Saccharomyces cerevisiae S288C: one gene and its partner. The main gene of each other region encodes a partner of the protein of the gene in region 2 in a complex. Each region holds a gene or a part of one and is shown on either strand. Other genes may lie near its edges. A codon is read from its position in the direction of its gene.

What was found.
Region 1: the proteins of COB (region 2) and QCR7 are in contact, whole or in part, in a cryo-EM structure (PDB 6T15), measured with the Saccharomyces cerevisiae proteins. Residues at the interface, in NP_009315.1 of Saccharomyces cerevisiae: Ser24 (codon at 6,225), Ser25 (codon at 6,222), Asn27 (codon at 6,216), Arg107 (codon at 5,976), Ser108 (codon at 5,973), Pro109 (codon at 5,970), Asn208 (codon at 1,878), Pro209 (codon at 1,875), Leu210 (codon at 1,872), Ile212 (codon at 1,866), Thr213 (codon at 1,863), Gly214 (codon at 1,860), Asn215 (codon at 1,857), Leu216 (codon at 1,854), Asp217 (codon at 1,851), Asp309, Arg310, Ser311, Val312, Val313, Arg314, Phe318, Val320, Thr372, Glu374, Asn375, Val376, Leu377, Phe378, Tyr379; in NP_010818.1 of Saccharomyces cerevisiae: Pro2 (codon at 1,076), Gln3 (codon at 1,073), Phe5 (codon at 1,067), Ile8 (codon at 1,058), Ala9 (codon at 1,055), Ile11 (codon at 1,049), Gly12 (codon at 1,046), Asp13 (codon at 1,043), Ile15 (codon at 1,037), Leu16 (codon at 1,034), Cys25 (codon at 1,007), Val26 (codon at 1,004), Val28 (codon at 998), Ala29 (codon at 995), Asn30 (codon at 992), Phe32 (codon at 986), Ile33 (codon at 983), Leu35 (codon at 977), Ala36 (codon at 974), Gly37 (codon at 971), Tyr38 (codon at 968), Leu41 (codon at 959), Leu43 (codon at 953), Phe45 (codon at 947), Asp46 (codon at 944), Asp47 (codon at 941), Leu48 (codon at 938), Ile49 (codon at 935), Ala50 (codon at 932), Glu51 (codon at 929).

The regions. Positions count from the first base shown.
Region 1 is NC_001136.10:1,495,470-1,498,193, forward strand, and holds QCR7 (ubiquinol--cytochrome-c reductase subunit 7), read right to left. Parts: upstream 1,080-2,724; coding exon 696-1,079; downstream 1-695. Other genes in the region: HLR1 (Hlr1p), read left to right, coding at 1-388; APA2 (bifunctional AP-4-A phosphorylase/ADP sulfurylase), read right to left, coding at 1,322-2,299. UniProt on the Saccharomyces cerevisiae protein: Component of the ubiquinol-cytochrome c oxidoreductase, a multisubunit transmembrane complex that is part of the mitochondrial electron transport chain which drives oxidative phosphorylation.
Region 2 is NC_001224.1:34,544-42,833, reverse strand, and holds the start of COB (cytochrome b), read right to left. Parts: upstream 6,295-8,290; coding exon 5,880-6,294; intron 5,112-5,879; coding exon 5,098-5,111; coding exon of another isoform or gene 4,255-5,097; intron 3,694-4,254; coding exon 3,617-3,693; coding exon of another isoform or gene 2,569-3,616; intron 1,994-2,568; coding exon 1,744-1,993; coding exon of another isoform or gene 583-1,743; intron 327-582; coding exon 276-326; intron 1-275. Other genes in the region: cytochrome b mRNA maturase bI2, read right to left, coding at 4,255-5,111, 5,880-6,294; cytochrome b mRNA maturase bI3, read right to left, coding at 2,569-3,693, 5,098-5,111, 5,880-6,294; intron-encoded RNA maturase bI4, read right to left, coding at 583-1,993, 3,617-3,693, 5,098-5,111, 5,880-6,294. UniProt on the Saccharomyces cerevisiae protein: Component of the ubiquinol-cytochrome c oxidoreductase, a multisubunit transmembrane complex that is part of the mitochondrial electron transport chain which drives oxidative phosphorylation.

The DNA of each region.
Region 1 (2,724 bases), on a different chromosome or scaffold from region 2:
ACCACAATCCTCGTCGATAAAAAAGTATTTTTCCAAAGATGGAAAATCTGTTAGCAGCTTCAATTTCCAGTCTCAGGAGTGCGATATGGTATCTTTTACTGAGGATTTTGCCCATGTAACATCATTGTCTTCTTCTATTCTTGACTCTGAGAAACAAACAGACGACGAAGAAGAAGAGAGTATTCCGGAAGAAATACTACGAGGAGAACCCCTCCACGTATACAACGAAACTAGTGGATCTGATAAAAGTGTCATTTTGCCGACGAAACAAAAATCTGCTCCCATTAACAAGGATAGTAAGCACAGTTCAACTCAGTATGAAGAAAAATCTTTTAAGAAGAATAGAAAGTTCAAAATTTTCGCCAAGTTATTCTGCACTAGGAAATAGTAGAATAAATTTAAGATATATAGACCACTCGATACCCCATCACCTGCATAATTATAGAAAAAATAAATACTAATAGATACCCGATTTATAACACTAGACATTACAATATACGAATTTCATAATAAAATTTTAAGTTCAGACTATAGATAAATAAATAATATGAAGTAAACGTTTCAAGCAAACGCTTATATATATATAGAGAGATAATAAAGGATATGATTTAGTCTCTGTCCCTTCTTTCAAATGAATATTTAATGCCTTTTTTTTTTCGGGTTGTGTGTTCGTGGTGATTTTTTTATTCTTCTTTTCATTTGGAGACCTCTATGTTGTCTAACTCGTCCTTCTCCTTAGCTGCAGCTTCAGCTTCTAATATGTATGGCAACAGGTAAGGAACATCCTCTTGGGCTTTGATCCATTCGTTTCTTGGCAGTAAATGATGAGTCAACTCGGTTTGATGAGCCCTGATTATTCTATATGCTCTGGCATAAGATTCATCTTCAGGGAGTCTTCTTAAAGCGGTCTGCATGATGGGATTTTCCTCTGCAATTAAGTCGTCAAATTTGAGCCCTAACTTCTTGTAACCTGCGAGGTTAATGAACTGATTGGCAACTGGAACACATAACTTGGAGAGGACGGGTGACTTCAAAATATAGTCACCAATTCTCGCAATAGACGTAAAAGACTGTGGCATTTTGTTCTTTCTGGAACGTTTAATTACAGTTACTAATATTCTGATAAATTGTCCAACAACAACCTTTACTGCTATTTTTCCAAGCTTTTACATCTCTTCCCTTTTATTACTGCTCTATGAAAGTAAATTGTCAGGCCCCCCGCCGGGGTGACCCGATAAAAAGCGCGTCGCTCCTGATTGGTCAAAACAAGATCACAGCGCAGTTACACATCTATAGACAATGTACATATGGCTAATAGACCTTAATAGTGATACTCTGTTGGTTTTTGGCCTGCTGTGTTGGGGAAACCGCATTGCAGTAACGACTTGTCCACAAGATGAGGATCTTCAGTGAGGTTCTCTAGTTTTTCTCTGTCTTTAACGAGGATCATACCACAGTACCCCGTGGAGTTAATGTTTAACATCAATGGCGGTCCACTCTTGGCATGCGATCTTGGAACTACACAGATCCATTTCTTGGTCAGTAGCACATTGTATGACTTGGTCAACTCCGGAGACTCATTGGTCCAATCTTGGAAAAATGTAAGTGCTCTCTGCATCAAAGATACGTAACACATAGCAAGAAGATCTTCGTCCACTTGATCAGACGATTCCGGCAGCGGCAAGACGAAATGAGCAAAGGAAACCTTATCATCTTGTAATGGCTCTGCGTTGAAGGTGGGCAAGAAATGATCCTTTCCGTTGCACAATACGTCCTGAAAAGGTATAAATTTTTCAGGCATTTGCATGATCTGCAAGTGTTTGTGATCTTGTGAGGAACCGCTATGAGGTCCACAATTATAAAAGACCAGATACCTTTCACAAGTGACATCATCGTCCTTGTCTCCTTGGAGAGAACAGAGCACATTATAAGCAGTCATCAAGTCACTTGGCGTCAAAGCAGATCTCTGGTCTTTAAACTCGCTTGTCACTAGGAGACTATGTTCAGGGACCACAGGAAATTTGTTGAGTAGCAGCTTATATTCTCCGTCACCATTTAGATCTTCAGTCACCACTAGTTCTTCGTCGGGATTGGCGAACGGGTCCTCCGCCTTTGAATCGCTATTCTTGTTAGCGTCTGGCTTAAGTGCCAAAGATGGAGCAAATGTCACCCAATATTGTGTCGTCGTTTGAGGATCTTTCAACTTCTTGGATTCTGCATGCGTTACTTTCAGATGCCCATTCTTTTTGGCTGCAACGAACTTATCGTGGATTTTCTGTTTCAAATTCTCTTCAATCATCTTTGTCTTCCTATTTTCTCTGACCCAGGGGCTCGGTTGCCTTTTAATTTTATTATATTTCAATAGTTCAACACATTTTCGAAACAGGCAAAAGCTTTACACGTGACGTTGGTATGATCGAGTATTATTCATATGGTCGTTCATGATTGCGTATTTACGACAGTATCTCAAAAAGTTTCACTCAAATGCGGAGAACTATCCGCGATCTACGCATTGAGCTCCTTTAGTTTGTAATTGCCGGGACCGATTTTTTTTTTTTTACTTCTGACTGTTCCACTTAGGAATCTTACATGACGTTAAACGACTAGCGCAGTTCCCCCAATATCGGCCGAAATTTTATTTCACCAACATAACGATGAGTAAAAAGAACTTATGTTTCTGAACAGATTGATCATTAAAACTAAAAAACTACCAGAATAAAGAAA
Region 2 (8,290 bases):
TAAACTCCTTATGGGAGTTCCCACAAAGCGGAAACTTAAGAATATTTAATGCTACTGTACTTTTTATTATTATTTATTATTAATTAATTAATTTATTTATTATAATTTTTCATATATTTAATATAATATATTAAATATAAATTATAAAGGAATATATATAAATAACCCCGAAAGGAGAAATAAATAATATATTTTTATTAATAATTATTATTTATTTTTTTTATATAAAATAAATAAGATTAAATAATAATAATTTTATTAATATTTTTAATATCAATAGATGCTGGTGTTACTAAAGGATTACCAGGAATATAGTTATCAGGATGCTTTTATAATAAATATAAAATGGACTATATCTTCATAAAAATTTATATTACACTATCTTATTTCATAAACTATTATTATTTCTTCAATCATGTTTAATGATCAGAATTTTATTTAATAAGATTGTAAAAATATAATCTACCGATTCATAATAATTTATATTATCTTTAACAATAATTTACAAAGATGTTATATTATTATAAGGAATCTTTAAATATTTTATAAATTAGATAATATAATAATGAATACGGAGAAAATTTAATTATTATTTCATTTTTCATTAAATTTTAATCAAGCTTTATATAAAGCAGTATTATGAGGTGCTTTAAAAGCTAATAAATCATATAAATAATAAAATTTATCAATTAAAAATAAACGTTTACCTTTATTAGATTTAGAAGGACAACTTTTATTATAAAGATAAAAAATATTATGTAATTCTTTATTATTAATAGATCATTTAAAATAACCATTTTTAGCTTTATCAAAATAAATATTACCACCAAATACTTCTCTATAGTATTCAACATCATGTAAATATTTATTTGTAACGCTAATAGTTAATTGAGGTCTAATTTTTAATTTACCGGAATAATAATAATTAATAGTACCATCAGCATCAAAGAACCCTATAAATCAAGCATTATCTTTAGTTAATTTAATAGGTTCTTTAAAATCGATATTTAATAAAATACATACTTTATTAAATTGTACTAATCTTTTACTATTACGAATATTACCATTAACGGCATTAATTAATTTAATTATACCTTCTTTATTTTGTAATCTATATCTAATAGCCTTAACACCTGATCTTAATTTTACAGAACCACCAAATTTATCTTGGATTTGTCTTAACATTTTTTCATCTTTTAATTCTACAAGAATTTCACAAGATGCATATTTATTTTTAGTAATACAAAAATAACCATCTCCGTCAATTAAACCGGCCAATCATTGGTTAAATCTAATATTACTATCTTTATAAATACTATAATGTCTTTTAAGAATAATTTGATTTATTTTTTTTATATTAAAAATATTTAATAAATAATTAAATTTATTTTTTAGTGTGCGTGTAGTCTCTGAAGTATCTACTAATAAATTCTTTTTATTACTCGTTAAGTGAGTATTAGAAGAATTTATATTGGTTACCTGCTGATTATCTTCTTTATAATAATATTTTACTCTATTGGGATTAAATAAATCACTTACAATATTTATTTTATTATATTGCTTTGTTCAATTAAATTTTAATACGAAATTATTTAATTGTTTTGTATTTAAAATATTTTGAATAATAAAATAATATAGAGTTTTATTATAAATTTTTCATTGATATTTAATAAATAAAGATTTCCAGCATACAGCACATAAAATATTAATTACATATGTAATTAATAATAAGGCCATATTTTGACCTAAAGTATTAGGTGAATAGAATACAAATAATGCTAAAATTAACATAAATAAGAAAACAGTTACTAAATCTTTAAAAATAAAGTATGAATGCATTGGAATTCTATCTAAATTACCTGTAATACCTAATGGATTAGATGAACCATGAATATGTAATGCCATTAAATGCATAATAACCATTGCAGCAATGATAAAAGGTACTAAATAATGTAACGCAAAGAATCTCTGGATTAGAGGGTTAGATACTGAGCTTTTAATGTTTAAATAGTTACATATTTGAAAACTATTATCAATATATCACTATATTGTTCGGACTATATCTTAATCCTATTTATGTATATATATAATTATATATAAATATTTATAAATGATTATATATTAATCATAATATTTATTTATAAAAAAAAAAGATAAATATTACTTCTAAAGTTTTTATTTCTTATTTATTAATCATAAATTATAATTAATAAAATTATACTTTTTAATTTATAGTTTCGATATCCTAAAATAGAAATAAAAATACCATAAAATGATAAGATTTTAATTATTAATAAAAATTAATAATGAAGGAGAAAATAAATATAATAAAATAATAAATAGTTCAAAGGAATTATTTATTGATAATAATATATTTAATATATAATTAAACTCCTTCGGGGTTCGGTCCCCCTCCCGTTAGAATAGGGAGGGGTCCCTCACTCCTCCGGGGTCCGCCCCGCGGGGCGGGCCGGACTATATTTATAATAAATAATTATATATAAATTATATTTTGTTTATATAATTATATAATATATAAATATATTATTATTATATTTTTATATAAGATTAATATTTAGGAGGAATTTTAAAATAATTATTATATTTAAGAATAAGACGTAAATCTTTTAAGAATAATAAATATTGTAATTTTTTATAACCTAATAATTTAATAGGGTTATTATTAATAAATATTACAACATTTTTAATACCATTAATACTTTTAAGTGTTATTCTTGAATTATTAAATTTATCTGTATAAATATTTTGAGTAATTTTTAAATATGATTTAATAGCTAATATAACTTCTATACTATTATTTTGAGATACTTCAAAACTAGCAAGTTTTATTTTTTTATTTATAGGTTTATAAATACTAAAACAACTTTCAGCTTCAAAAAAACCAATTAATCATGAAGAAAAATAATTTTTATTTAAAATATCTTCAAGAGTATTAAATGGTTTAATAGGACGTAAATAATAAGATAAATCATTATAATATTTAATATCTTTTAATAAATTATCTTTAAAATATAAATAATCATAATGTTTATTAGTTAATATAGGATATTTATCAAAAATAGGAATAATAATATTCTTTAAATGATTTTTATTTCTTACATTAAATTTACATATTTCTTTAATAGTACCATCTTTTATTTTTAATTTTTTAATTGTTACTTTACCAATACCTAAAATATTTTTAATTTTATATAATAATTGAATATCTCTAATATGTATTTCAATACCTAATTCATATAATAAATATTTACCTTTTTTTGAAATAGTAATTCAACCATCTCCTTCAAATAAACCACCAATATATGCATAAATAGGATTATCTGTGTTTAATTTATGATTTTTATCATAAATAATAGTATTATTTATATAATAACTATAAAGTCTCTGAATAATTAATTTTATATATATATATATATTAATTACTGCTAATTTTCTTCTTATAATAAATATTTTAACTATATTATTTTTATTTCAAATTATATTATTATAAATAATTAATTGAATAATATAGTAATTTATTATTCAAATGAAGATATTTCAGCATAAAACAGATTTATTTAATATTATATTACTATAATATGGATCCTCTATATTAAACCCACCTCATAATCAAGATACAATATCGTTACCTACAAATGGAATTGCTGAGAATAAATTAGTAATAACTAGTGCCAAGAAAATAATATTATTTATAAATTATTATTATTTTTTAATAATAATAATCTCAATATTTATTGATTTATTAATATAAATAATACCCTGTATTTAATAATATCTACCCTTTTTATAATTCCATTTAATCACTATTTTCTCTTATGAATAAATATTTATACCTAATAATACCATAATATAAATATTATATATAAATGTTATATATAAATGTTATATATAAATGTTATGATGGGGTTATTATTATAAAAATATTAATCATAATAATTATAATTCATTATTTATATATTAATTAGGTAAATGGAATAATAACAGTAGTTATATATATAATATATATATATAGATTATTAAACCTTGTGTTATAATAATAATATTATAAATTTTCTTCGAATAAACATTAAATATTATTATTTTTTTTATAATAATACCTATTATTGGTGTATTCTGTTGGGATCATATAATTATATAACCCACTGTCTTGTTACTTAATAATATAATTTTGACATGTTTTCAATAATATCGCATTATAATAATATAATAATTAATATAATACTATATATTTTATTATAAATAATTACCTAATTTATATTTTATACTAGGAATAATATAAGGAGATACAATTTTAGTTAAAATAGGTATAGATTCTTTTCATACATAAATAACAAATTGTGTATTTTCTTTATTGCCTTTAAGAATAGTAGATTTAATATTATATTTATTATGTAATAAATAAAGTAAATATTGAACATCTTTATAACTAAAACAATTAGTTGTGAATTTTAAACCTTTACCTAATTTACATCCATCATCTATAATTCAAATAGCTAAAGCTAAAGGAGTTAAATAATTGTCTAAAGATTTAGGAATAACTTTAATATTACCTTTTCCAGATATATTTTTAATATACCATTCTGAATAAATCATATTAAATGAATCATAAGTTCATGTATTAAATTTTAAATATTGTCTAATTTTACCTTTTTTACCTAATCTAGTTTTAATTAAAGGTAAATTAGTATTACAATAACCTAAATTAGCTAATAAACTATGTAAATAATATAAATAATTAATATTACAATATTCTTGTTGAAATACAATTCTTGTTCCTTTACCACCTTTTCTTTTTTCAGCATGACCATCTCCTAATATTGAACCATAAATAATTGATAAAATGTTTATATTTAATGGACCAATATTATTATTTATATCTTTCTTATTTGTTATATTTAAATTAATTATATATTTATTTTTATTAATATAATCTATACTCTTAATTAATATAAGATATTCTTTAGTTTTTATTATTTGTCTTATTATAATCGTATAAAAAATATAAATTAATAATATTAACATTATTATATAAATTAGTTTTATTATATTAAATATATTTGAGGCGATATTTATATTACCTCAATGTGACAATTGTGATAGGTAGATCTTTACAAATTTTCCCCCACTCAGAACTGTACGTACTACTTTCATAGTATACAGCTCAAACAATTTATATACTATATAAATCATCCTATATTGAAGTTAGCATGCTTTCACATTAATCATTTATTCGTTATTATTATTAATTAATTAATTAATTAATTAATAATAATATTAACCATTATTAATATATTTTTATTAAAATATATAAATAATTTGATCTATATTATACATTACATATAATCTTTAGCTTTTTCAATAGTCTTTTACCCACTTATCTATATTATAATTTCTATTATTATTTATTTAATAATATTATATATAACTACCATATAATATTTATATTAATATTATATGGAAATAATTGGGCTTACCAAGTTTATATTATTATACTTTCAATAATTCACTTAGGATTCTAATTTTATACCGATGAGTATTAACGTATATATATGTATTCTAGACAGAATTGAATATCTTACTTCTCATATAATTATTTTTATTTATTATTATTTATTAATTAATAATAGAAAAAAATATTGTTTATGTTACGATATTTTATAATATTAGATTGACTTACGCTATCCATATGAATCTTACCTTAATAATTAATAATAATTATTATTATTAGAGTTTCATACAAAATTATTACTAATAATGCATGTCTAATTAGGTATATGTTATATATAAACATAATCATTTCATTAAAATAATTTATTTAATGGTATGATATTATAATAATATACTTATACTTGTCTCACTCTGTCCATAAACACAACAATAACCTAAAAAAGCTGTAGCAATAGTTAAAATGAAAATAATAACACCTACATTTCATAATAGTACTCTTGGTGATCTATATGAACCATAATATAAACCTTTAGCCATATGCATAAACATTACCATAAAAAAGAATGATGCACCATTTGCATGTAAATATCTTAAAATATAACCATTATGCACATCTCTTATAATATGTTCAACAGATGAAAAAGCTAATTCAATATTAGATGAATAATGCATAGCCATAAAAATACCTGTTACAATTTGAATAACTAAACATAAACCTAATAATGAACCCATATTTCATCAATAATTAATTGATGATGGTTGTGGTGAATCAATAATATAACTATTCACTAAACTTAAATACACATTTGATTTTCTAAATGCCATATTATTATTATTTATTTATAAAATATTAATAATATTATTTATTACTAATATTTTATATATATTAATTAATAAAAAATATATAAATATATATTATTAATTAATACTTATTATATATATATATATTTATAATTATATATATAATTATATTATAATATTAAAAACTATTTTTTTATTATATATACATATTTTATTATATATAAATTATAATTATTAAAAAAAAAAGATATTTCTCATTTTTTTTTCATTAATATAATCCATTAAAAAAAAAAGTTAATAGATTTTATTAATATTATTATTATTATTTATTAAATATAAACCTCGCGGGCGCCAATCCGGTCAACTACTGGGTTGGTCATTGGTCCCGTGGATAATATTAATTATATTATATCATTATTAATTTTTTTAATAAAAAGTTAATAATATAATATAATATTTAAAAATATTTATTTAATAATAAATAAATAAATAAATAAATAAATAAATAAATAAATAAATAATATTGACGATTATATTAATATTAATGATATCATTATTATTTAATAATAATTAATATTATGAAAGATTTTTATATTAATATTATATAAATATAATATTAATAATTTTTATATTATTTATTAATATTGTTATTATTATTATTATATTAACAATAATTTATTGTTAATATGTTATTTATATTATTATTAATTTATATTCTCCTTTCGGGGTTCCGGCTCCCGTGACCGGGCCCCGGAACTATAAAAAAAAATAAAATAAATTATATTATTATATATTATATTAAAAAAAAAAATTAAATATATAATAATTATAGAATTAATTAATAACAATTATTATTATTATTATTATACATAAATATTATTTATATAATTTATTATAATATTTATTTAAAAATATTATAATGAAAAATATATTATATATTTTATTATAGTATAATAACAATCGGTATTTATTATTATGAATATATTATTTGTATTAAAAAAAAATATATATATATATATAATTGTATTATATAAAATGTATATTATTAATAATTATTAATTAATATAAAGAATATGTTTAATTATATATACTTTTTTTACAAATATTTATTATTATGAATAACCTTAATCGGAATCGAACCGATATTATCAACATGAAGAGGTGATGTCGTAACCATTAGACGATAAGGTCTATATTTATTAATAATATATATATATATAATTATTATTATTATTAATAAATTATAAAAATAAAATTATTATTATTATTATTAAGTTTATTATTACTATTTATTAACCTAATTAAAATTAAATTAAATAAAATAAAATAAAATAAAATAAAATAAAATAAAATAAAATAAAATAAAATAAAATAAAACTTCTTCTTTAAATAAAAAAGGGGTTCGGTTCCCACGGGGTCCCGCACTCCTTCTTAAATAGGGGTTCGGTCCCCCAAAGGGATCTATCACTCCTTCCTAAAAATAATTAAATATTTTTAATATATATATATATATACATATATATATTAATTTTATTAATTCATTTAAAATTTATATTTATTAATATAATTTATATATTTATCTTATTCCTCCTTTCGGGGTTCCGGCTCCCGTGGCCGGGCCCCGGAACTATTAATATATAAATTGAATTATAATTATTTTATATTATTTTTATATATTACTTATATAATATTTCTTATAATTATATTAAGATTATATATATAAATAGGTTATTATATATTATTATATATATATACTTATTAATTAAATATATTTATATTTTATATTAATGAAGTAAATATTTTATTTAATATATATATATATATATAAATTTATTTATTATAAATTATATTCTTTTTATATTTATATTTATTATTAATTAATTAATTAATTAATTAATTAATTAATTAATTAATTAAATTATTATAATTGTTATTATAAATTATAATTATTATTATTATTTTATTTTTAATAAAATTATTATAATATTAAAAAAGGGAGATAAATAATATTTATATAATC